Sus scrofa: one gene and its partners. The protein of the gene in region 5 interacts with the protein of the main gene of each other region in a pairwise test. Links are inferred from orthologs where the notes say so. Each region holds a gene or a part of one and is shown on either strand. Other genes may lie near its edges.

Region 1 (3,500 bases), on a different chromosome or scaffold from region 5:
CTCTGGAGAACCCCTTGGGGCTGCGCCCCCACCTGCCCCTGCTGATGGGTGGGCAGGCAGCGCTGAAGCCAGAGCCCGGGCGCCCAGGCGAGGAGTCGCCTGCCCCCAAGCAGGAACTGCACCAGCCCTCGTTCCCTGCACCTCAGCTGTCCCCCCTACCAATGCCTGGTAACCCCGCTGACTACAGTGGCCTGTATGGTCGGCCTGAGCTCATTGCACTAGGCAACTTCTACCTGTACTGCAGCCAAGACGGGCTGCAGTGTGGGGGCTACTCCTCCTGCCCCATGCTCCCTGAAGGCAAGCTGTCCCCAGTGGCTGCACCTAACGAGGGGCTTCTCTTGGCCCCGAGCTCAGTGCCTGCTGGCACCCCTTTCCAGCATCCTCCATGGGGTTCTCGCTACTGCTCCAGTGAGGACGCTGGAGTGAATGGCTACAGCATCTGTGAAATGTTGTCCCCGTCTCTTTCCCACATCGGCACTGCCTGTGGTGGCTGCCCCTACAAAATGCCTTTTGCAGCAGGTACGCCTTCCTGGGGGTGGGATGTGCTAGGGAGTCTGAGACATGATATCCCAGAAGGGTGGGTCTTGGGTTGGGGTGGGACTCCATGGGGTATACCTACTGCATGAAAGGGTAGGAGGTTTTGAGAAGGGAGATTTCCCTAGTTTTGTGCCCCGAGCCTAGGAAGTTCCCAGGACAGAGGTCTATGTTTAGCTCCTAGCAGCCCTGCTCTGTCACCACTGTCCTTGGAGGCCTCTTGGCATGGCAGCATGATGGTAGAATGGTCAGGGAGGGTCTCTCCTCCCTCCCCATTGGAATACCTGTTCTTAGACTCTGAGTAGCAAGTTCAATGTTGAAAGCAGCACTTTGGCCAAGTTGTTCCCATGTCCCTCCTGCCCTCCTCAAGAAGAATTAGAATTCCTTTCCAGGAGCCCAGGTCATCTGCATGTCAGTCAAGTTCAGCATGCACAAGAGGGGTGGTAGGTACCAGGCCTGGTAGGTGGTGCCAGCTGCAGTAGGACAGCTTCTCCTTGGCCATACAGGCCTTAAAAGAGCAGTTACGCCCAGATTTAGCATCACCTTGCTAGGTGCGGACAGGATGGGCACCCTCAGAGAACAGACAGGCTGCAGTCAGGGCCTGTGGCTTTGGTGTCTACCTTCTTGGCAAGATCCAACTACCTCAGTGTCATGCTGCAGCTGATGAGACACCCCTAATTCATCTCTCTTCCCCCAAACTGGCAGGAGTGTCCTTTCATACCTCTCCAGGTGCCCTTCTTGGCTCCTGAATGGAAATGAGGGGACCAGAGCCATCCTGGCCAGTAGGTCTGCCCTGCTGTTGGTGAAGTGCAGGGCCAGGCCTTCCCAGTGCTCTCCCCTCCCCTCCACGCCTCTTCTTGAAGGGGTCTATAAAACAGCTTTATAGACACCTGACTCTGGCCAGACTGGTTGTTTCAGGTTCTGGTGTGAGTTGGAGCTCTAAGCAGTGAGAGTAGGCTTCTTCTTGGGCTTTTCTTCCTCTTTCCTACCACTCACTAACTCTATAGACTTCTAACCCATGGGACCCAAGACCCTTATCCCTGTGCCCCGGGACACCAGTAAGCACCATGTGCCAAGCGCCTGTTCTTAGTGCTTTATATATATATGGGAGGCCATATGGCATGTAATTGAGCACAGACTCTGGAGCCAGACTGCCTGGGGTGAAATGTTCTCCCCACTTCCTTGGCCACGTGACTGTGGAATAAGCTGGTAACTACTCTGTGTCTCAGTTTCCTGAATTGTAAAATGGAGGTAATAGTACCTACTGCATAGAGTTGTTGTAAGGATGAGATCATATATTGATAAAAGAAACATCCAGGACACACTCTGTGAAACTCACTTTATGATATTCATTCTATTGCAAGGCACTGAGAGGTAAAGTGACTTGCCTAAGGTCACACAGCTGGTTAATGGCAGATCTGGGACTCACATCCTGGGCTAACTCCAGATCCTCTGCTCCAAAGTACTGGAAACCTTGGAGAAGGAAGATTAAGCCAGGGCTAGAGATGCTGTTCCCGATACCTCCCCTTCTTTTGGGTGGCGTTGATGTCTGTGGGCCAGTTTCCAAGGTCAAGAAAAACCCTTGGCCAGTCACTGACAATCCACCTTAAGGGCCTCTGACCCCACCTGCCACCTCAGTGGCTTCTTGGGTTCACGCTTAGAATTAAGATGGAAGCAGGCTCTGAAGCCGAGAGCCCGGGAAGGTCACTGCTGATCCTTACCTGCCCTGATCTCCTCTCTCCTTTTCCAGAAGGCTGCAGGTCCCTGGGCCAGCTGGAATTTCCTCTCCCGGAAGCTGGCCACCCTGCCTCACCTGCCCACCCCCTCCTTGGATGCCCTGTGCCCAGCGTACCACCTGCAGCAGAGCCTGTCCCCCATCTTCAGACACCCACCTCGGAGCCCCAGAGCATAGCCCGAGCTTGTCCCCAGAGCGCCAAGCCTCCTAGTGGCTCCAAGTCTGGTCTGCGCACGGGCTCCAGCTGTAGGCACACAGCGCGGAGCAAGGCTGCCCGCAGACCCAGCCACCCCAAGCAGCCGCGTGTCCAGCGTCCACGCCCACGCCGCCGTCGCCGTCGCCGCACTAACGGCTGGGTGCCCGTTGGGGCTGCCTGTGAGAAGGCCGTCTATGTCTTGGTGAGTGCCGTTCTTGACTGAAGGGGAGAAGGGAAGGGTGCTGGAAGAGACATAGGACCTGCAGGGAGGTAGAGGACTCCAGAGAGGATGGGGGCTCCAGCTCATTTGTATCCCAGGAACCCCTCACCCTGGGCTAGCCTGCTCCCCCATACCCTTGTGATCCTGCGCCCTGCACCTTGGGGAGTCAGGGAATGTACAGTCAGTCACAGCTGGTGGCTGCCGTCTCTGTCACTGATGCTCAGGGAAGCTTCCTAAAGTGTCTTCATCTCTTGTCCCTGTTCATGCCATCCCTTTTGTCCTGGATTATAAAGCAGAGGGCTTTCAGGATAATATATAAAGGAATAGGCAGAAATTGGGATAGCAGAGAAAATGACTGATACAGGAGTATCTGGATGAGGAAAAGAATGTCGACTAAAATTTACTGAGCACTTCTTAGGTGCCAGAACTAAGCTAAGCACTTTGCATGCGTTATCTGCTTTCATCCTCACCACTGCCCTGTGAGGTCCATACCCCATGGTCCTGTAACTACCTTCATGTCACGGATGAGGAAACAGGCTTAGCAGTAGGTGAAGTCATTTGCCTAAGGTAGTGCCACTTCCAACAGCGGTTTCAGAGTCTCATCCAGACTGTTCATTAGGAAACTTGAGGACCTACCCAGTGCTGGGGGCTTGGAACGAGAGAACCAGCTGTCGGGAGTATGGTGGTTAGAGTGCCGCCCCAAAAGCTTCAGTCCACTTTCTTACCCCTGTTCCTATTTCTATCCTTTCTCCATCCCCATCCTCCCCTTGAAAGCCAGGCTCAGGGAGGAGGAGCCAGAGTGCAGACTGCTTTTG
Region 2 (3,500 bases), on a different chromosome or scaffold from region 5:
GTCGGTTGCTCCGGCCGCGCCAGCGTGTGACCTTGTAGGTCCCCGTCCCCGTCGGTTGTTATCCCGAGGTGCCCGGGCGGCTGGTAGTGTCTGTTGGCGGGTGCTGGCCTCCTGAAGGGCTGCGTCCCCCCCCGGGAGCTCCGCGTTGTCGTCTCGCTCGTCTCGAGACTTGAGTCCTCCCCACCACCTACCCCTCCGTTCTCTTCCTCGCCCGTCGCCTCGGCCGCCCTCCCGCTGGACGCCTGGCTCCCAGGAGTCAGCTGGGTGCTGCCAGGGCCCCGACGCAGGGCCGGCCCAGAGTCCGGGTGCAACAGCGCTCCCAGCCCGACGCCGGCGCAGCCGTGGCCGCGGGTCCTCGTGAGACACGGCTCCCGAGGAGAGGCCCTCGCGGAGTGTGGGGCCGCGTCCTGAGGCCTCACGCTGCCCTGTCTCCCTCTCCTCCAGCGAACACCTCTCCTCGGCCCGTGTCCGGCATGGAAAGAGAGCGGAAAGTGAGTATGCGGCTGCACCGCGGGGCCCCCGTCAACATCTCCTCGTCCGACCTCACGGGCCGGCAAGATACCTCCCGCATGTCCACCTCACAGGTACGCGCCCGGCCGCCACCGGGCCCTGCGCTCCGCAGCCGCGTTGCGCGCCGGTCCTGCGGCCCCCGCAGTGGGCGACGGCCTCGGAGGCTTCCTGCTTTCCATCCTTCTCGCTCTCCCTCTTCGGAGCGTCTGAACTGCCGGGGACCTCGTGTCCCTCGCTACCGTGGGGCCCTCGGTTGAGGGCCCCAGGGACGAGCTCTGGGGCCAGGCTGCGCCCTGGCTGTGCTGGGACGCCCGCTGGCGCCTCTTCTCTTGCGCCGTCTTCCCTGGGCGGACGCCCCCAGCCTGTGGGCGCCTGGTGTTGCAGCGCGCCTGGCCCAGCCTTCGAGCCTCTGTCCTCGCTCTTGTCAGCCGGGCGCTCCACCCCCGCGGAGAGCCCTTGTCGCCCGCCGGCAGTCACTGTAGGGCGTCCTAGGCGCCCGGCGCCATGTCTTCTCTAGCCACGCCCTGTGCCCACTCGCTCTGCTCGCTGTCCCTGCCCAGCAGCGCCACTCCTCGCCTGCGTGCTGGCAGGTCTTCTGCGCGTGGGTGGCAGGAGGCGGGCAGGGTGAAGAATGGTCCAGGTGGGCCTCTTCTCTGCTTCAGCCAGTGTCCCGTGGGGCCGGGGTCACCCCATGCTGTCTGCTGGGGGTAGCTTGTCGGTGAATTTGGCGGGTTGAGCGTGTTGATCTGGAGGCACAGGGCCTGTGCGAAGTGCCCAGAGCCTGGTTCTGCAGCGCCGGCTGGCCAGGCAAAGGGCGGGTGTGCCCAGCAGAGGAGGTGCCCCGACCACGTTTTCTTAACTGCGTGAAGTAAACAGGGCACCTGTCGCTTGCTGGCACTTCTACTGGAAACGGGCTGCTGTTCGCCCATTAAGCTTCTCTCTGGCTGGAGACGCAGCTGGTCGGAATCATGGGGCACAGAGGCTCTGGTCAGGGGTTCGAGATCGGCCCCATGCGGCTCCCGGCCCCCAGCCATCCTGCCTCCCTCGGGACACAGAAAGGGCCTCCGGGTGTGTTCCCACGAGCCCTGGAATGCACGCCTCAGTGGCCTGGCACGGGCCCAGAGCGCCTCGGCTGGGACGAAGGAGGGCAGGCCTCGCTTTGGCTTTAACACAAGGAAGGATCAGGAAGCGCCAGGGGTTCAGGGGCGCCAGCGCCTCGGGTCTGCGACCACCTCTGCCGCCGGCTCCTTGGGCTTTGCTGCCCAGTCTCCCCGTGAGGGCCTGCCTCTGCTCTCTGTTCTCTCTCTGCTTTCCTACCAAGACGTGTGCCGTGGCTCTGAGGATGGGGCGCCTCCACTTTGTCCCTCTTCCCCCCGGGGTCTCCTTAGGACCTCTGCGTTGAGGGCACAGCCCCAGTCCCCTCCATCCAGGACGGCTCTATCCCTTGGCACTCTTGCTGGCAGGCGCCGTTCCTGGCCGCCAAGGGCCTCCATGATCAGGGCTGTTCCAGGCTCGGTCTGGCTTCTTCCCCCAGAGATGCGAGCGGAGCAGGGGTGGTGACACAGGGGTGCAGGGTCGCAGTGGGCTGGGGTGGCCACTTCCCTAGCCGCCTCTGCCCCTTAGGGAGGAGGCCTGCTGATCTCAGCTGGGGGCGGGGGGACGTTGGCCTGTGTCCCTGGTCGTGGCTGGAGTGCCGCGGAGACGGCGGAGGGCTGCTGGCGGACGAGCCTGGCGGTGGCGTTTCTCTGAGAAGTGCCCCCTCCGTCCAGTGCTGTCGAGGGACACGATCCCGGCTCCTGGTGCCAGGGACTGACTTGTGCGAATCCCTGCCTCCCCTGCCCCCCCGAGGCCCGGAGCCCGGTCTTCTTCCCCGCGTCCAGCCCTCGCGCGCCTGGGCCTCGGGGAGCCGTGGGTGTGAGAGCCGATGGAGGGGCCGCCGTCGAGGGTCCCGTCCTCTTACAGCCTGAGCCCTGGGGGCGGGCTCCGTGTCGGCAGGTCCAGGGACCACTCTTGAGAGGCCGCTCCGCGGGGAGAGGCCCGGCCGGGGGCCTGGTTCGCGCAGGCAGCGCTGGTGCAGGAGGAAGGAGGAGGGGCCTCCGTGCTGGTCCCGCCGCGAACCCTCCCCAACAGCTGTCTTTTCCCCCCACCTCAGAATAGCATTCCTTTCGAACACCACGGCAAGTAGCTGCACGGCTCCCGTCGGAAGGCAGCGCTGGGTGAGTGTGCGCAGGCCGGGTGGGGGGCTTGCATGCCAGGAGCCGCCAGCGGGCGAGGCCCCTGGCCCAGGTCTTCTCCTCAGGCGGATTCCGGGGCAGCTGTCCGCTGGCCCTTGGCACCGGCGTGGGGCGCGGGAGCCCGGTGGTGGCTCCCGTGGCCCCGAAGGCTGGTGTGGACGTGCGTCCCGTCGTGCTGGCAGAGGGCCGCAGGGGGAGGGGGGCCCCTGCGCTCTCGCTGCGGGAGACACTCCTGGTCTCGGCTGTCCCGGCTTTGTCATCTCTCTTCCTTAGCGTTGACCTCTGTCGTCCTCGTTTGCTTTTCTTTGCGAGCTCGGTCTCTGCCCAGCACCTCGTCCACGCGCTCGTTTGCATTAACCCATCAGCCACAGCCGCCTGCTCCCTGCCGTCGGTGCATGGCTGGGCGTCCACGCTGCTCCTCTCGGCAGCGACTCTTGTGGCTCCTCCTGGCTCTGTCTGCTGGGCGCTGCTCTCTGGGGGCGTCTCGGTGGGGAGTGCTCGTAGGTCTTGCCCACCGGAGCCCCAGGGCCACCGGGGCCTGGGTCCTGTGTTCAGAGCAGCAGGCTCCTTTCCAGGAAGCGGCTGGGAGCAAGCGTCCCTTCTCCGCTCGGGCCCTGGTCTGATGACCGGCTCTCGGCCCCACGCCGCCGGGCTTCCTCGCCTGCATGGCTCTCCTTCCCTCCCCGTCTTCTGTCACTTTCTCTGCTGCACGTGTCCTGGCCTTAGAGGGACCTTCCGGAGCGGCTGGGGGTGCGC
Region 3 (3,500 bases), on a different chromosome or scaffold from region 5:
GGCCAGGCTTTGCTTATGATTTTTATTAAGTGACAACTGTCTTGAAAGAGAATTCACATACCATACAATTCACTCGTTTAATGTGTACAATGCAGTGTTTTTTTGGTGTTTTGTTTTTCTTTTTTTGTCTTTTTGCTATTTCTTTGGCCGCTCCTGCGGCATATAGAGGTTCCCAGGCTAGGGGTCCAATCGGAGCTGTAGCCACTAGCCTACGCCAGAGCCACAGCAACGCGGGATCTGAGCCGCGAACCCACAGCACAGCTCATGGCAACGCCGGATCCTTAACCCACTGAGCAGGGATCGAACCCACAACCTCATGGTTCCTAGTTGGATTCGTTAACCACTGAGCCATGACGGAAACTCCTGCAGTGGTTTTCAGTATAAGAAACCCCCTGCCCATAAGCAGTCACTCCCTGTTTCCACTCAGTCCCCCTCAGCCCTACTGTCTCTGTAAGGTTGCCTTTTCTGAGCATGTCATGTAACTGGAATTGTACAATATGTGATTTAATCATGTTTCGCCCCCCCTTCCAGAATGAGGATTTACTCTTTGGATCCCTCGCTTCTCCAGTAGGCATGTCCCCTTTGGAAAGACCGCTTTTAAAAAGGCTGCTCTAGACTGACTCAGCAGTCTATAAACATCTTGCTTTGCTCTGTGCCTATAAAGAACCCAGAGTCAGCCACCGTAAGATGAGACCGGAGGACTTGGCTAGGGAAACCCTGGGGTCATTGTAAAGGGTGGGGATGTACCAGCCCTTAGCCAGCGGCCATACTGGTTAGCATATACTTTGCAAGCGGCCGTATTTTGTATCTGTGGGACTCCTGACACCTTGGATTCCAAATTCTCATCGCCTGCTCATCTGTTCGCTCTTGATTTTAGGAAAAGAATTCATTCCTCAACTACAATGTATCCTGTATCCTTACCATGCCTCAGTACATGAGACAGGGCTATGGCAAGATGCTCATTGATTTCAGTAAGTGAAACAGCCAGGTCCTAAGTTCCACAAGCAGGGGCCTTGTGAATATGGTTGTTTGCCTGTTTGTCCTGTGCTCTTTACAGTTCCTGCCATGTAGTGGAATTACACTGGTATTAAGTGAATGAGTAAGTAGAGAAATCTGAATGTTGTTCTTAGTTTGGCCTGATAGACATGGAACACTTGAATGAATATGGGACCCTGCGTTGGTCCCTAATGGTGGGAGGAGATAGAGGATAGAAAAGAAATCCCAATTGAGACGTAGGAATAGCACACACCTTCATAAGGCTTCAAATTTGATGTTAGGGATTTCAGTTTTGTTAAGACTTGTCTAGAGGCAGTCCATACACGTGGTAGAGGCTTTGAGTCTCATTAATGATGGATTCTGTATTTGGAAATTTAACTCTCTGAAATTGATTTGTAACCCACAAATCAACACACATGACACCCAGCAGCAAAAAAAAGTTAATTCTCAGATGAGGTCAAAGTGTCATGTTTTGGCTCTCTGTTTAAGCAAGTGTCCTCTTCACAGTCTCTTGGTGCCACGTTCATATTTTTGTGCTTTTTGTGGGCTGATTTTATTTTATTTTTTGGCCCCTCTGCAGCATGTGGAGTTCCTAGGCCAGGGATCAGATGATGCTTGGGATGGCAGTTGCAATCTAGGCGGCAGCTGCAGCAACGCTGGATCCTTAACCCACTGTGCTAGGCCTGGGATCAAACCTGTGTCCCATCGCTCCAGATGCATCATTGATCCTGCTGGGCCGCAGCAAGAACTCTCCTTGTTGCTGATTTTTTTTTTCTTTTTACGGCTGCCCCTGTGGCATATGGAAGTTCCGAGGCTAGGGGTCAAATCAGAGTTGCAGCTGCAGGCCTCTGCCACACCCACAGCAACTCTGGATCCGAGCTGCCTCTTTGACCTGCACCCCAACTCATCGCAATGCCAGATCCTTTAACCCACTGAGTAAGGCCAGGGATGGAACCCACATCCTCATGGATACTAGTTGGGTTCATTACCATTGAGCCATAATGGGAACTACGCTAGTTGGGTTCTTAACCTGCTGAAATACAGCAGGAATTCCTGTTCTTTTTTTTTTTTTTTAAAAAGAGTTCCCTGATGTCCTAGGGGTTAAACATCCAGTATTGTTTCTGCCGTGGCTCTGCTCACTGATACGGCACACATTCAGTCTCTCATTTGGGAACTTTTGCCTGCCACGAGTGTGGCCAAAAAGGCTTGCAGGGTTTTTTCTTTTGTTTGTCCGCTTTCAGATCTGTTTGTTTTTAACTCAAATCCAGATAGAACTGATATTGGGATTGATAGATGTATCTTATGAATCACCTTTAATATAAAAGTTCCTATTCCATCTTTTTTTTTCTCTACTATTTATTTAAGAAAGCAGATTAATTATCTGCTGGTTTCCTAGAGTATGAGTTTTGCTGACTGCATCCCCCAGATGTTGATAATTACATGTTTGGACGTTAAAACTAGAGACTTTGTGAGATTCAGGTTGTGTCTGTCCCCTACCCCCTGCCAGTATTTCATAGGCAGTGCTGAGATAATCCATTCTTCAAGTTCAAAAGTTTGAAAGATTAAAAGCTGTGTAGTGAATCGGCTTCCCATCTCTTCCCACCTGTTCTGAACACTTACTTTCAAATAACTGTTGGTAAGTTTCTAGTGAAGCCTTCCAGAGTTGTTTTTAATGTCTATTAAGTAAGTGTGCATGTGTTCTGTTCCCCTTTTGTTGATATGAAGGCAGCCCGCTCTACAGCAGCCACGTAGGATCGCATTAAATGACTGAACCCTAATTGATATTGCAAAGCAGACTCTACACCTTAAATCTTTTGCCATGTTGGTACGTTGTTAACAGGATGAGATACAGTGTCTGTATTGTTCCGTGGCAGGTTATTTGCTTTCCAAAGTGGAAGAAAAAGTTGGTTCCCCAGAACGTCCGCTTTCAGATCTGGGGCTCATAAGCTATCGCAGTTACTGGAAAGAAGTGCTTCTTCGTTACCTGCATAATTTCCAAGGCAAAGAGATTTCTATCAAAGGTTGGTTTTTTTTTAATTTTTTAATTTTTTTGTCTTTTTGCCTTTTCTAGGGCCGCTCCCGCGGCATATGGAAGTTCCCGGGCTAGGAGTTGAATCAACACTGTAGCCACCGGCCTACACCAGAGCCACAGCAACGTGGGATCCGAGCCACGTCTGCGACCTACACCACAGCTCACAGCAACACCGGATCCTTAACCCACCGAGTGAGGCCAGGGATCAAATCCTCAACCTCATGGTTCCTAGTCAGATTCGTTAACCATTGGGCCACAATGGGAACTCCTCAAAGGCTGGTTTTTGATTCTTCGAGAATGATTGTTACCCAAGATGTTAGCTCCACTGAATATTCTGGCTTTTCTCCTTGGCCCTGTTCATGCTTTGTAACCTGCAAAGGTCATGTCCCATTCTGTGTTCCATCTAGATGTGCGAGTGGAAGGCCGGCCGAATATGGGCTCCTCCCTAAAGGTGCCTAAGGATTCCAGAGCA
Region 4 (3,500 bases), on a different chromosome or scaffold from region 5:
GGGAAGACAGACAATAAAGACCCAAGATCAGCAGAGTTTAAGTCCATCCAGAGACTGAGGAGAATGGAGACCAACAGGAGGAAGGGTGGGGATTTGCCCCTTAGGAGGTGACCTTGGACAGTGTGGCTGGGGGGAAGAGTGGGGCACCGGAGCCAGCTGAGGAAGAGCAGACCAACAGTGAGTGGGAGGTGAGGGAAATGCAAGGACCTGAACCCTGTGCAGCCCCAACAGGCTGTATGTACAGACAGTCGAGGCACCTGTGCCCCAGAGCTGGTGGGCTGGGCATCTTGTTCCTCTGCTCAGGTGCCTTTGGTGTCACTTCTTTGCCTTAATCCTGAGCTCATAATTTGGTGGGAAAGAGTTATCTCCCCTTGTACCCCACTCCCGCCCTGTGCTTTTCTGTATATGTACAAAGTGACGCATGTCACCGGCAGATTGCTGAGGCCTGTATTTGATTGCTCTCCCCGCCCCCCACCCACCACCTGGTTCTGACCCTGGGACAGTGCCTCCCCTGGGCCATTTCTCAGTGCTTGTCCCATCCGGTGGTTCTCAGAGAAGGCAAAGTGTGGGACAAGCCATATCCCGAGAAGATCCTCTGCTGGCACAGGCATTGGCTCCTGTGACATTTTTACTTAGGATAAAGCCATGGCTGTGTGTCCATTATGCTGAGAGGAGGTGAGATGCAGCAAAGTGTGTGGACTTTGGAATCAGACAGACCTGGATGCAAGTCCTCTTGCGTCTGCCCTCACTCGTGGTCCAGCCTCATCTGTAGAATGGGGATAATAGCGCTCACCTTACAGGCTGTTGTAAGGAGAATACAAAATGATGTGTGTACGTGTATGTGTACACACATACATAATAAGGCCAGATATGTATGTGCGATACCTAGTACAAGGCTTGGCATTATTAGGCATTTAATAAATGCTAATTGTCTTTATCCAAAATGAAGCTTGAAAGGAACTTCTGAGGCCTCCTTAGATGAAGATGCCTCAATTTTTTGGCAAGCGTGTTAAAAATTTCAAAGCCATGCCTCAACTGGAATCTTCTGTATAATGGATATTATGCTCTGAGTAAGCCTTTAAGGCAAAGAAGCAAATACCATGTGCGCTGATGCCAGTGATTTATTTAAAGATGCCGAGCCCGTCCAGAAGACCTATACAGAGACACTAAGGCTGCAGTCGCAGCTCTGCCACCACCTGGCAATCTACCAACAGTATCCAAGGTGATGGGCCCAAGGCCCTCACCTTCCAGTGAAGCTCAGTTCCCTCCTTAAACAGCAAAGGGGAAACATTTACAGTCTGGTGTCAGACGTTGAACCAAATATTGCCCCCTCCCCATTAAAGATGACTTGCCCAGACATTTCAGATAACTACGCTCATTCCTGCGCTCCCATTCCCCAAATCGTCTGACTCAAGAGCAATTTTATAATTTTCGTGATATTTTAATCCGTAAGGCCCCAGAGACACTGCCCGTGCGACGAGCCCGAGCCGTTAGCTTAAGGAAAGAGCTAGAGGGGATCTGGAGTGGGTGCCTTGTGGTGATTTAACTCTGGCCTTTGATAACTTGTGCCCCATCTCTGCACCGCAAGTGTCTCTGACTGGCCATTGTGTCAACAGGTGAAAAGCCCTTCAGCTGTCGGTGGCCCAGTTGTCAGAAAAAGTTTGCCCGGTCAGACGAATTAGTCCGTCATCACAACATGCACCAGAGAAACATGAGCAAACTCCAGCTGGCGCTCTGAGGGCTCCACCCCGGGCACCGCTCCGTGTCCAGGCAGGACGGTGTGTGAACGACTTTGCAAGCTGACTTTAACATTCCTCCTGGCTCGCCTCTCAAAGAAGGAAACGGCGGCCGACCTTCATCCAGCGTCCGAGACAAGATGCCTGAACCACTGGATCCTACCAGGTTTGCCTGGAGGAGTTGGTCCCTCTGCTTGGCCACCTCTGAGCCCTGGAGAAGTGGCTCTCAGTGTCCAGTTAGTTAAAAGCCCGTCGCCATGTGGTCTGGATCCTCCACTGTAAGAAGAGCCGTGGTTGATACTGTTCCTCCCCCATCCCCCCGCCCCCACCCCGTCTCCCTTTACGCTCATTTTCACAAGGAATGGAGTCATTGTACCATTTTCCATCATAGAATATTTATAGGCCAGGGCATGTGGATGTGTCTGCTAATGTAAACTTTGTCATGGTTTCCATTTACTAACAGCAACAGCAAGAAATAAATCAGAGGGCAAGGCACTGGGGGTGAGTCCCGTCCGACATTCCGGAGGTTAGGCAGGCTGCTAACCTGAAGGCAGGATGTAGCGCCACCAGGCAGCTTTGAAAACGCCAGCATTTCAAGCAGCTGAAAAAAAGAATCAGCACTAACCAGTACCTCTGCACAGATCTCTAAAGGAATCTTCCCATTCAGTGTAACTCAGTGTTAACAGGAGCACAGTGCTCTTAAGAAACTGTGCTTGAAGATCTGAGATTTTGTTTGGGGGTTTCTTCTTGACTTTTCGGAGTTGTAATCATAGGCATCTTCAGAGATGCACATATCTCCTCACACAAAGGAAGTGGAATCCATTTTCATCATCTGGGGGGTGTCCTTAGAATGTACAGACCACGCTGGTTATGGGGCTTCGAGTTGTTAAAAATTAAGGTGACTCTAAAAGGAAATAAGGGCTGGTCCAGGATCTCCCACTGATAAGACTGTTCCTAATAACTTAAGTAACTTTGGGTCTACAAGTATATGTGGAAAAAAAAAAAATGAGACTTGCTAGTGTGAGGAAATCCATTGTTTAAAGGTGGTTGGGTATATGTGTGGTTTTTTGGGTTTTTCTGTTTGTTTTTTAAGGGAGGGAGTTTATTATTTACTGTTGCTTGAAATGATTGTGTAAATATATCTATCTGATAATGATTTGCTCCTTGACAACTAAAATTAGGAAATGTATAAATGTTAGATGCATCACTGTTTTGGTGTTGATCTTCCAACATATTGATGATAACACTAAAAATGTAACCTGCATTTTTCACTTCGCTCTCAATTAAAGTCTATTCAAAAGGAAAGTGGTAAGATTCTATCAGCTGTATTGTGTTTAAATCTTGAGGACAGATGAGCTCTGCTAAGCAGGTGAGATGCTGACAGTGACATCAGTGACCACTAGTTAAGTCTGTCCAGGTCCTGACCACTATTTGTTTCTCTCCGTTGAACCTCAGGAGGCAATTACTGGTCCTAGAAGCAGCCAGAGAGCACGGCTTTCACCTCTCATCATAGAGCGATGGCTCTCATGCTGTGATTGCATAAGGGCAGGGGTGGGGAATTCTGTTTCCATGGTCATTTATATCTGGCTATCATTGCATCACTTCCTGTTCCAAGTCAGCAGAGGAGACCAGAGAAATACAAGAAATAACTGGTCTTTTTGGAAAGGTTCACAGATAGGCACTGCAGTCAGAAGGGGATAAGCTGAACACCTAGCACAACCTAATTCGCAACTGTAGTTGCTATAAATTAGTTCAGCAGGTTGA
Region 5 (2,634 bases):
CAGCTAGCGTGAGCAGTGGTGATGATCAGAAGCAGAGGCCTGCCTTGGTCACTACTTCAGCTGTCAAGCTGTCATCCCAAGGGGAGTGACTGTGTGTTCCTGGGGCTACCCAGGTCTCCAGCTCTTCCCTTTGAGTCTGCCATACTCCCAGCTGAGGATACTTCAGCCAGTGAGAACAAAAAGGCCTGTTCTGTCTGCATCTCCCTGAGCATGGCCTCTGGTGGACTTGGTCCATGGGCAGAAGACCCAGAATGCCCCTGGTATGGAACAGTGCCTTCTGAGCAAAAGCCACAGCTGTCCTGAGAAGCTTTATGTACCCCTGAAGGTTTGGGGACAGGGAAGACTTCTACTGGCCATGTCTGATCAAATTTAAGAAGCCAATAATTGCAAGATGCACCGCTATTTCAGAGATATTGAAATGTGAAAAAATGTTCAACTTATAATCAATTAAATACATGGTAAGTGGACAATTTTTTTTTTTTTTTTTTGCTTTTTAGGGCCACACCCACGGCATAAGGAGGTTCCCAGGCTAGGGATCGAATCGGAGCTGTAGCTGCCGGCCTGCGCTACAGCCACAGCAACACCAGATCCAAGCCACATCTGCAACCTACACCACAGCTCACGGCAACGCCAGATCCTTAACCCACTGAGTGAGGCCAGGGATGGAACCCGCAACCCCATGGTTCCTAGTTGGATTCATTAACCAAGTGGACAACTTTTTAAAGAGCACTTATTGTGGGCCAAACATGGTGCTAAAAGCATTACATACATTATCCTATATCATCCTCAAAACAGACCTATGAGATAGGTCTTACTGTTGTCTCCATCTTACAGACCAAGAAATTGATGCACTGAGAGCCTGTGTCACTTACCATGTTCATACGGCGAGGGTGGAGCTAAAATTTGAACTCAGAACTGTCTAATGCCAAAATCCTATGCATCTATCACTACTCCATGGGGCCATGCTGAAGCTGCTGAGGGCCAGGGACCCCATCCTCAGCCAGGGACTTGTGCTCCTCAGAAACAACCTTTCTCGTTTCTAGAACCTAATCTGAAATATTTTAAGAGTTAGCTTCTGGGAGTTCCCTGATGGCCTAGTGGGTTAAGGATCAGGCTTTGTCACTGCTGTGGTATGGGTGTGCTCTCTGGCCTTGGAACTTCTGCATGCTGCAGGCATGGCCAAAACAAAAAACAAAACAAAACAAAAGAGTTAGCTTTTGGATTCCAGCCAGCACCAGTGGGCTGAGAGAAGGTTGCTTCAGGCGGAGATGGTTGCTGGGGCTGGGTTTCAGCTCCCAATCCTGCGCACTGCTGTCCTGTTTTGAGGACTCTCCTTCCCAAGGGCAGTCCATAGGCTCAGGATAAGGGGAGTTCCCTGCAGACCTCTCCCATTTAATAACCCTCATTGGCTTTGCAATCGCTCAAGATCAAGTCCAAACTCCTCGGTACAGTTTGCAGAGTCCCTTACAACCTGGCCCTGACAGCTTTCCCAGCTTTAGCCCAAGGCAGAGCCCACCCTCAGGGGTCTGAGGAGGCTGTGGACTTGGGGCCTCAGGCCAGCTCCAGGTCCTGCCTTGGTGGAACCTTTTGGTGCTGTGAGGATTACCCAAGAAAATGCTTCTGCAGCACCACACACCTAGGACAACCTCAGACCATAGGAAGAATAAAAGCTCTGGAGCCAGAAAGTCAACTCAAGGCCTAGCTCCTTTGCTTCTAGCTGCGAAACCTGGGGTGGGTGGACTACTTAGCTTCTGTAAGTCTCATCAGTTTCCTCATCTTGAAACAGAGATAGTAATCCATGTGGGGAGGTTGTGAGGACTGACTGAGGGAGAGATGATGCTTTAGAAATAGTGAGCGCAGTGTGGGGCACGGAGCAGGCACTGAGAAAATGCCAGCCCCAAGAGGAGGATGCAGGGCAGTTGAAGAGGCTGGACAGGGCTCTGCTTCTACCATAGAACTCTCAGGTTGAGAGGTTCCCCCAGCTCTGCTGCCCCCTCAACTGGGTTCCCTAGAGTCTGCTGCCACATCCCTGGGCAACTCCCCACTCCCAACCAGGAGATAGGGCAAGGAGCGGGGGAGGCAACATACTGCCACAGAGGTCGCCGAAGATGTAGTAGCACTGCTCGGAGAAGGTGATCTTGTTGACAGTGTGGCGGATGAAGCCAGCTTTCAGCAGGTTGCTGGCATACTTGCGGGCCTCTCGCCGGTCAGTAAAGCCTTCCACGTTGTGGTACAGCCAGTCCACCACATCCGAGCCTGGGGGCAAGGCCACCACTTGACTGGGAGGCCCTCTTGACTTGGGCTCATTTGGCCTCACAGAAGCCATGAGGCAGGTGCTGGTTCCAGTGCAAAGGAGCGGCCCAAGGGGGTTCTTGCCCTGCCCACCACTCCCACCATGGGGCCCCCTCACCAATGAAAGCGTTGGGGATGGTAATCTTGAGCCACATGCGGTCACGGACTTCCAGCCCAGATTCAGGGGAGGCCATGGCTTTTACGATGGCAGCCATGTCACTGTGGATGGACAGGTGGAAGTCGTCTAGGCCTGGGGGTGAGACGCAGAACGGTGAGCAGAAAGAGCCTATGGAGTTAGGTACACAGGAGTCTGCATCCCAGATCTACCACCTAATAATATGG
Region 6 (3,500 bases), on a different chromosome or scaffold from region 5:
AGCCCCATGTCAGCCTCAGAGCCTGAGGCAGGGGGTTGGCAGGGACAGCACCCTCCTCTATCAGGTGGGGAGCAGGACGCCGAGGCATTCCAGCAGGGTGCTGTTTAATTCAACAGCCAGACGTGCTTCCCATCTCTGAAGTTTCCTAGTTCCTGCTGCTCAGAAGCTTGCTGGTACTGGGATCCCCGGTCATGGTGCTTCTGGGGGCAGGAGAGGCAGCAGAGTGTGTGCTCCGAGCTGGGTTCATTTTTGAAGGATGACCACATTTAAGGACAAAGTGGATCCAAGGCCTGGCCCAAACATGGAATGGCGAGTGGACGTCTCCTTGGTCAGCAGCAGGTCCTGGGCCAGTCCCAAGTACCAAGTGAGTTTCGGGAGAGGCAAGAAAACTGCCAAGGCAGAGGGACTCACAAAGAATGACTGAGCTGAGGGCTAGCAGCAGATCTGCAGGGAGAGGGGATCCTGATGGCTGGAGTGCATCTTGTAAGGGACACTGACCAAGCCAGGCAGTGCAGGGACTCAAAGGGACCAGTGACCGAGAAGGGTGAGCTGGAGAATGTGGTGAGCCCCAGAAGGCCTGGTGATCTGGAGGCTGCAGCCACGGGGCAGAGGTAGGGCAGGTGAGGCCAAAGCAAGAGGGGGAGGACCTGGACCCGAGTCTGATCAGAGCTGAGAAGGCATATTGAAGGGGCCGAATTCTACTGAAGAACCAATATTGCTATCATTGCCTTACAGACCCTGGGACTCCCAGCATGGAGGCCAGACCCTCGGGTCTTAAAGACACGGTGCTCTGCCTCGGAGAGCCTTCCCCTGGGCCCCCACGGGTGCTGCGTGCCCCTCACCTGCTCTCTTGTCTGCTTCTTTGCAGGAAAGTGTGGATCTGGGGGAGATCATGTTCTCCCTCTGCTACCTGCCCACAGCAGGCAGGCTCACCCTCACGGTGATCAAGTGTCGGAACCTCAAGGCGATGGACATCACGGGCTACTCAGGTACCTTTCCTCCCCGAGGGCCTGCCCCGTGGCCTCTCGGCAACCCAGATGTTTAGATTTGGAGAGATGCTGAGAGAGAAGGGGGAAGAATCGTCAGTACTCTTAGATAGGAGCACAGCCCTGGAGGCAAACGGCCTGGCTGTGAAGGCCAGTTCTGCCACTTTGCTGTGGGATGCTTTGGTTTCCTGACCAAAAAAAAAGAAAAAAAAAAATGAAAAAGAACCACGAAAAAGAAAAAAAAAAAAAAAAAGAAAAAAATTTATGCAGGTTGCTTTAAGGATAAACATGTAAATGCTTAGAAATGTGTCAGACACATAATGAGCACTCAGTAGGTATCAGCTATTACTATCATTCTTTCTCTTTGATGATGGAGAGAAGAAGTAAATAAATAGAAAAAAATAAGGAAAAATCTTTCTAGTTTGTGTGAGGTCTCGGGACTGCCAAGGGTTATGTCAAGTTTGAGTGTCCAAGTGTCTGTAGGTCCACGCAGCCCTGCGGCAGCCCTGCAGACTGAGTCAAAGGAACAGAGCCAATGACAAGCAAAGCGCATTTGTATTTGAGGTTTTCCTGCAGGGCCCTGGGCCTCCGTGTCAGCACCAGGAGAGCTGCTGGGTACAGCAGGAGTAAGCAAGTCCTGTTCTAGCAACCGAGGAGGTGCTTGTTTAAATGCAGCTCGGAGCCTGCAGGCTGGATGTGGTGTCACAGGCTTAATCCTTTTGCACGATGCTGCAGGTCGTTGTCAGAGAAGGTTTCTGAGTTCTGATGTAACAGAGGAGTCCCTGGCGCCTCCATCCCTGTGTCAGCTCACATTAGCCCAGGAAGTGAAATGGGCTGGAGTGCCTCAAAGAGCAGGCACGTACGCCGGGCTGCACTCAGAGCAGCAAATGCAGGGAAAGGCTGGGTTTATTTTCTTTGACCCCTACCCAAGGGGCTCTTTTGAAGATTCCAATCACCAATGTAAATCCACTCCAGAGGTGCCTCTGAACTTGGCGGAGAGTATATGGAAGATTTTTCCTTTGAATCATTCATTATTTCCTGGAAAACTCCTTAGTATAATCAGAGTGGCCAGGAAGCGGGGACGGTCCAGCTGGAAAACATCTGGGCCCAGGCCCAACCTGGCGCAGCTGGAAGGAGATGAGACATGAGGCCTTGAAAAATGAGGTTTCGGGGAAGGGTAGTCAAGAAACGCTGAAGGAAGGTGTGTTTGCTGCGGCTCTGAGTCCCTCAGAGCCTCTGCTCCCAGCCCCCACCGCGTCTCTGCAACACTCAGGTCTTTCAGGCCAAAAGCTGCCCCAGACAGTGCCTGCCCTGGCACGTCTCCTTCCACTGAAGCTGCCACCACACACCAGGTCGTGGCGAGGAGCTCAAACCACCTCTCCTGACACTGTGCAAACCTCTGAGGCAGCAGGAAGCAGGGCCTCCTCTAAATATACAGCCAATGTAGATTTCATTTTAATATCAAAATAAGTATGTGCAGGGATGGAAATTCACTGAGGACTCTCAAGACTGCTGAAGGAAATAGGATTTTGCTGCCCCAGTCCCCACACTATCTTCTCTGGTGTAATTAAATTGATGGGCTAGAGAGAAAGCTTACGGCAAAGCCACCAAGGTAATCTTAAAGGCTGTTCCACGTCAGAGGGTTGGGGGGCAAGAGATTTTTCTCCTGCGAAGTTCTAACCTCCCTCTCAAGATCGCCCCTCTTTTCTACCTGACTTTGGAATCTGGTATTCAATCTCGGCTGCATTCTGAAAATCCCGGGGTCCTGTTTTTGTCAGGGCTGTCTATCTATTTTGTTCACTGATAGAAGCAAACGTATGAAACAGTGCATGGAACATAATAAGCACTGGATAAATATGTACTGAATGATGAATAAATGATGAATGAATGAACGAACAAACTTACAGCGTAAGGAACCTTGTCAGAGGGTGATGCTGTGGGGACGCACATGCCAGGGGCCTCTCACACCAGATCTCCTGTTTCAGAGGATAAGGCTGAGGTTGCCTTCAGCTCAGACCGCTTTGATGTTAGACTAAACGAAGGAGCGCATGGAGCTCATTAATTGCCTGTTCTTGATGTATATGACACTGACCTCTAAAACCCAGCATCTTCCTATTCTCCTTGATCCAGTCCAGTCATGAATCAATTCTCTAAGCCTATCCACTAAAACTATGGCAATAAAAATAATACAAAATAATAATAAGGATGAGTACGCCCCAAAGGGGTGGTAAGTCGGTAAGCCTGCCCATCTCTGCCACCCCTGGTCTATACTGCTCTCTGTCCAGGGATTACAAATGTAAACTTTGGAGTCAGGCCTAACTTCAAATCTTAGGCAGGTTTCTTAATCTCTCAAACTTCCATTCCCCTATCTATAAAAGAGAGATGATGATAAATATAGAGTTGATGTGATGTTTAAATGACATGGTATGTGTGGAGTTTCTGCTGTCACACGAGGAGACTGGCAGCGTCTCTGTATCGCAAGCACACAGAGTCGACCCCCAGCCCAGCACAGTG
Region 7 (4,007 bases), on a different chromosome or scaffold from region 5:
CTATCTGGCCCATTATAGAAAAAGGCTGGCCAACCTCTGGATTAGATGATCAACAGAGCAATATATCAAGCCCTGATCTGTGGCATTTGCCAATTTCCATGGTGTAAATTCTCCCACCACAGCCAATTTCAAGCTTCCAGCTTGAACATGGAGTTGGGAAGAACTGCTCACCATTTCCATCAAAAAAATAACCTCAAGAGCATCGCAAAAAGCAGTAAAATAAACCAGAAGTTGGGATTTTTGATGATTTATGTCCTAGGCTTTTTTATAATGTGTTGAAGTATGTAAGTCACTTATGATAAAATTCACCCTTCCAAAGTGTACAATTCAGTGGTTTTTATATATTCACAGAGCTGGGTAACCATCACCACTGTTTAATTCTAGAATATTCCATCACCCCCAAAAGAAATCCCATCCACATTAGCAGTCCTTCCCCATCCCTCAACCCCAGCCCCTTGGCAACAGCTAATCTACTTTCTGCCTCTATGGATTTGCCTATTTTTCATATAAAAAGCATCACACACTGTGTGATTGTGTCTGACTTCTCCCACTGAGCATCATGTTTTCAAGATTCATCCATGTTGTAGCAAGTGCTAGTCACTCCTTTTATAGCTGAATGATAGTCCATACCTTTGTTTTAAATATAATGTATTTGTAAATTTAGCCTGTCATTTAAAAAAAATGGATTTTTTTCTTCTACTTGTATTGATAATCTATCATTTGAAATAATGGTGATGTTAACAAAAGCGGATCACAAAATTCCTGACAACATAGCAAGTGGCTCTCGTGAGCCAGGGGGTGAGCTGGCTCTGGCATGTCTCTGGTCCATGGAGCAGCCCAGCCTCCGCATGAATTCTTCATGCCCCAGTGAAGGGTGTCAATAATTGATGGGCCCATTCAGCAAGACCAAGCCGGCCCTCCTCTCCTCTCTCAGCCCACCCCAGGGTGGCCCACTGTGGGAGATGCCCCCACGGCCCTTGTCCCCTGCACTGTACCCTCTGCCAACATCAGGGCACCCGCTGCTTCGGGCTCTTTATCAAACCTCACTCAAGTCTCCCAGTCGGTGCTCAGTTTGATATGGCCAAAGGGGAGGGGGGAGGACCTGCGTGTCTGAGGTGGGGGGTGGATACCAGCAGTCCTCAAACCTGGGTCCCCAGAGCCCTTGGGGGCCATCCCAAGCACGGTCTGGCTGCCTGCCAGGCTGCAGTGGGAGCTGGGATAGTGGGTGTAGGCAAAAATGAATATTTGGAAACCATGGCCCAACCCACTGCAGAGAAAGACAGGCTGGGACTAGGCTGAGCAAAAGATTTTTAACAAAAGGTAGAGGAGGCTTGGGTCACTCAGCAGGAATGTGGATGCAGCCCCTAAATGAGTCTGGGCTTCACCCACTTCTCACCTCTTGCTTAGCCTCCATGCCTGTCACCTGGCTCTTGCCCTCACCCCCTACAGTCTGTCTTCTCTGGAGCAGCCACCAGAGGGTACCAGTGAGCACCTAAGTCAGGCCCTGGACCTCTGCCCACAGCCCTCCAGGCATCCCAACTTCCTCCAGGTAGAAGCCCAAGACCTCCCAGTGGCCCACAGGCCCTGCACTGCCTGCCCCTGGACACTACCAGCCCCCACCTCCTCCCTCTCTCCCCCTTGCTCGCTCTGCTCCAGCCATGTGGCCTCCTGGCTGTTCTTCCAACACACCAGGCATGGTGCTGCCCAGGGCCTTTGCATGAGCTGTCCCCATTGCCTGGATTGCTTTTCCCCCAAAGTCTCCACACGGCTGTTTTTTTCTAGTCTGTGAGCTTCAGTTCAGATGTCACCTCCTTAAAAGGCTCTTCCAGATCCCCCATCTTAACTAAATTCCCTATCCGTCTGTCTCCATTTTTTTCATACAATTACAATTAAGCCTAATGGCTTTTCTGGATGAATGTCTATCTCTCCCAACTCCCGTCTGTGAGCTGAGTTGGGGTGAGGAGAGACACCAGATTAACCTTGGTCATTGCAGGGTCCTGCACCATGCTTGGCACACAGTAGTGCTCAGAACCTGTTTGTTGAATGAATAGATTCCTTCAACCTCCCAGCACCAGAGGGGCACAGAGTCAGAGATCTTCTCCAAGGGTTCCAATGTCCAGCCAGGGAAACTGAGGCCCAGAGAGAGACAGATATCGCAAGATCACATAGCAGCACAGCACAAACAGTTCTGGAAGCCCCCCTCCCCCCAGGTAGACATTCCCCAAACTCCACTACCCCATTGGACAGAAGGGGAAACTGAGGATGGAGCCTCAGAAGATCCCAAGGACTCAGCCAGAGGTGCCGCTGTGAAAGCTCAGGTGGCAGGATTCTAGGGAAAGTGGTCTCATGGAGGGGTGGGTAGGGGAGATTCTGGGGTAAAAGCCCAAGTTCTCTGATACTGGGCCCAGTCCTGCCCGTTTCTACATCCCCACCTCTCAGCCCTTAGTACCTGGGGCTGAACCTGCACCAGCATGAGTCAATTATGCAACATCTGCCTCTGGGGCTGTTTCCATGACAATAGCTCGAGTTTTGTCCTACGTACCCTCTTGTGGCCCAAGTTAACAGTCAGGGGACACTGAGTCCTCCTGAACCTACCACATTGGATCACCAAGCATCCAAAAGGTCCCTCACCTGCCCAGGCCTCACCTGACCTGCCCAAGGCCACACAGTGGGAGAGGAAACTGTGGGGCCTCCAGTCTGTACCTACTTGACTGGTCTCTTTGCTTAGGGACCACCTACCTCCCATCCAAGTGGGGTTTGGGCCCCCAACCTGCCCCTGCAGTGGTCTGGGCACTCACCCACAACCGGCGTCCCAGGCCACCAAGGCTGCCAAGAGAAGCTCAGCCCAGGTGTTTGTATGGCTGGGGTGACAGCTCTTTGTTCTGGTTTCCATAGGTACAGCGTCCCTGGGCCTGCCCTTCCTCGGCCCCTCCCAGATGCCCAGCCCTAGCCTTGCCAGTCCCTTGGCCCGGCCCATGTAGACAACCTGTTGTGTTTTAAAGTTGGCGCCTGTGCACCTGGCATGGCGATAGAGGAAACAGCCCACGCAAAGGCCCTGAGGCAGGACTGTGCCTGGTGTATTGGTGGAATGTGGAGGCTGGTATGGCTGGAGCAGAGTGGGGTGAGGGGGAAAGCTGGAGGAGGTGGGGGCCAGGAGGAGACATGCAGGTCCACATTCCTGCAGTTAATCCTGGAAGCTGCCCTTACCCCTCGGGAGTTATGTCCCTCCGACAGGAAACTGAGGCTGGGAGGTTCGAATCACTTGTTCAAGGTACCATCGTGAAAATGGCAGAGCAGACCCAGGTTTGTCTCATTCCAAAGTCTGAGCTCCCCAACCACTGGGCTAAACTACCCTGGCCCTGGCTGTAGCACCCCAGGGCATTCACCTCTCCCCCCTGCTCAGGAAGTAACAGAGGCCTGTTTACAGGCAGGGCTGCCCTCCTCCAGGCAGGCCCCCCGGAATAGAGGAGGTGGTGATGCATGCAGATCTGGGTCAGGTCAACTGCCAGTTACCTCAGTGATGAAGGTCCCAATTCACAGCTGGCAAAACTAAGGCCATGGCTTCAGGCCATTGGGGAGCTCCAAGGTGGCCAGTTCGGGTGGGTCTGACCCTGGCTCTCAGCTGCCAGGACCAGCCGGAAGTCCCACTCATTGTCACCTCCACGCCTTTGGCCTGGCTGCCCACCACCTGGAATGCCCTCCTAGCTCTGGAATCTAGCCCTAGCACCTGGTGCCCTGCACTGTGAAAGGGGCAGAGTCCATCAGAGTCCTCGTGTTGGGGGGAGGAGGGTGCTGGTCCCAGAGCACCACCCCATGCCGTGGGGGTCAGTTCAGACCCGGTCTGCTACCGCCTAGCCCACACAGCAAGAGAGTGACAGAGACAGCAGGAAAGGGAGAAATGGGGAGGGAAACTGAGGCAGGAATACAGTTAGAAAGGGGGGTGCAGGAGCATGGGGGGGAGAGAAACAGAGAAGACAAGTGGCCCCCGAGATTCTCCCAGATGGGGG

What was found.
Region 1: the proteins of DVL3 (region 5) and BAHD1 interact in binary tests that used the Homo sapiens proteins (3 or more experiments, as listed by UniProt). The two-hybrid records come from large-scale screens. The link is inferred for Sus scrofa from reciprocal best matches to the Homo sapiens genes DVL3 and BAHD1.
Region 2: the proteins of DVL3 (region 5) and CSNK1D interact in binary tests that used the Homo sapiens proteins (3 or more experiments, as listed by UniProt). The two-hybrid records come from large-scale screens. The link is inferred for Sus scrofa from reciprocal best matches to the Homo sapiens genes DVL3 and CSNK1D.
Region 3: the proteins of DVL3 (region 5) and KAT7 interact in a two-hybrid assay, tested with the Homo sapiens proteins (2 studies listed by BioGRID and IntAct). The two-hybrid records come from large-scale screens. The link is inferred for Sus scrofa from reciprocal best matches to the Homo sapiens genes DVL3 and KAT7.
Region 4: the proteins of DVL3 (region 5) and WT1 interact in binary tests that used the Homo sapiens proteins (3 or more experiments, as listed by UniProt). The link is inferred for Sus scrofa from reciprocal best matches to the Homo sapiens genes DVL3 and WT1.
Region 6: the proteins of DVL3 (region 5) and SYT6 interact in binary tests that used the Homo sapiens proteins (3 or more experiments, as listed by UniProt). The two-hybrid records come from large-scale screens. The link is inferred for Sus scrofa from reciprocal best matches to the Homo sapiens genes DVL3 and SYT6.
Region 7: the proteins of DVL3 (region 5) and TNFAIP8L1 interact in binary tests that used the Homo sapiens proteins (3 or more experiments, as listed by UniProt). The two-hybrid records come from large-scale screens. The link is inferred for Sus scrofa from reciprocal best matches to the Homo sapiens genes DVL3 and TNFAIP8L1.

Annotation. Positions count from the first base shown.
Region 1 is NC_010443.5:130,854,236-130,857,735, reverse strand, and holds part of BAHD1 (bromo adjacent homology domain-containing 1 protein), read left to right. Parts: coding exon 1-519; intron 520-2,284; coding exon 2,285-2,667; intron 2,668-3,500.
Region 2 is NC_010454.4:789,359-792,858, forward strand, and holds part of CSNK1D (casein kinase I), read left to right. Parts: intron 1-444; coding exon 445-584; exon of another isoform or gene 585-2,662; coding exon of another isoform or gene 2,663-2,695; exon of another isoform or gene 2,696-2,726; intron 2,727-3,500. UniProt on the Homo sapiens protein: Essential serine/threonine-protein kinase that regulates diverse cellular growth and survival processes including Wnt signaling, DNA repair and circadian rhythms. It can phosphorylate a large number of proteins.
Region 3 is NC_010454.4:25,998,657-26,002,156, forward strand, and holds part of KAT7 (histone acetyltransferase KAT7), read left to right. Parts: intron 1-877; coding exon 878-971; intron 972-2,870; coding exon 2,871-3,017; intron 3,018-3,500. UniProt on the Homo sapiens protein: Catalytic subunit of histone acetyltransferase HBO1 complexes, which specifically mediate acetylation of histone H3 at 'Lys-14' (H3K14ac), thereby regulating various processes, such as gene transcription, protein ubiquitination, immune regulation, stem cell pluripotent and self-renewal maintenance and embryonic development.
Region 4 is NC_010444.4:28,452,967-28,456,466, forward strand, and holds the end of WT1 (Wilms tumor protein homolog), read left to right. Parts: intron 1-1,616; coding exon 1,617-1,738; 3' UTR 1,739-3,041; downstream 3,042-3,500. UniProt on the Homo sapiens protein: Transcription factor that plays an important role in cellular development and cell survival. Recognizes and binds to the DNA sequence 5'-GCG(T/G)GGGCG-3'. Regulates the expression of numerous target genes, including EPO.
Region 5 is NC_010455.5:122,085,851-122,088,484, reverse strand, and holds part of DVL3 (segment polarity protein dishevelled homolog DVL-3), read right to left. Parts: intron 2,543-2,634; coding exon 2,411-2,542; intron 2,257-2,410; coding exon 2,089-2,256; intron 1-2,088. UniProt on the Homo sapiens protein: Involved in the signal transduction pathway mediated by multiple Wnt genes.
Region 6 is NC_010446.5:106,471,317-106,474,816, forward strand, and holds part of SYT6 (synaptotagmin-6), read left to right. Parts: intron 1-868; coding exon 869-989; intron 990-3,500.
Region 7 is NC_010444.4:74,216,604-74,220,610, forward strand, and holds the start of TNFAIP8L1 (tumor necrosis factor alpha-induced protein 8-like protein 1), read right to left. Parts: upstream 2,801-4,007; 5' UTR 2,747-2,800; coding exon 2,740-2,746; intron 1-2,739. UniProt on the Homo sapiens protein: Acts as a negative regulator of mTOR activity.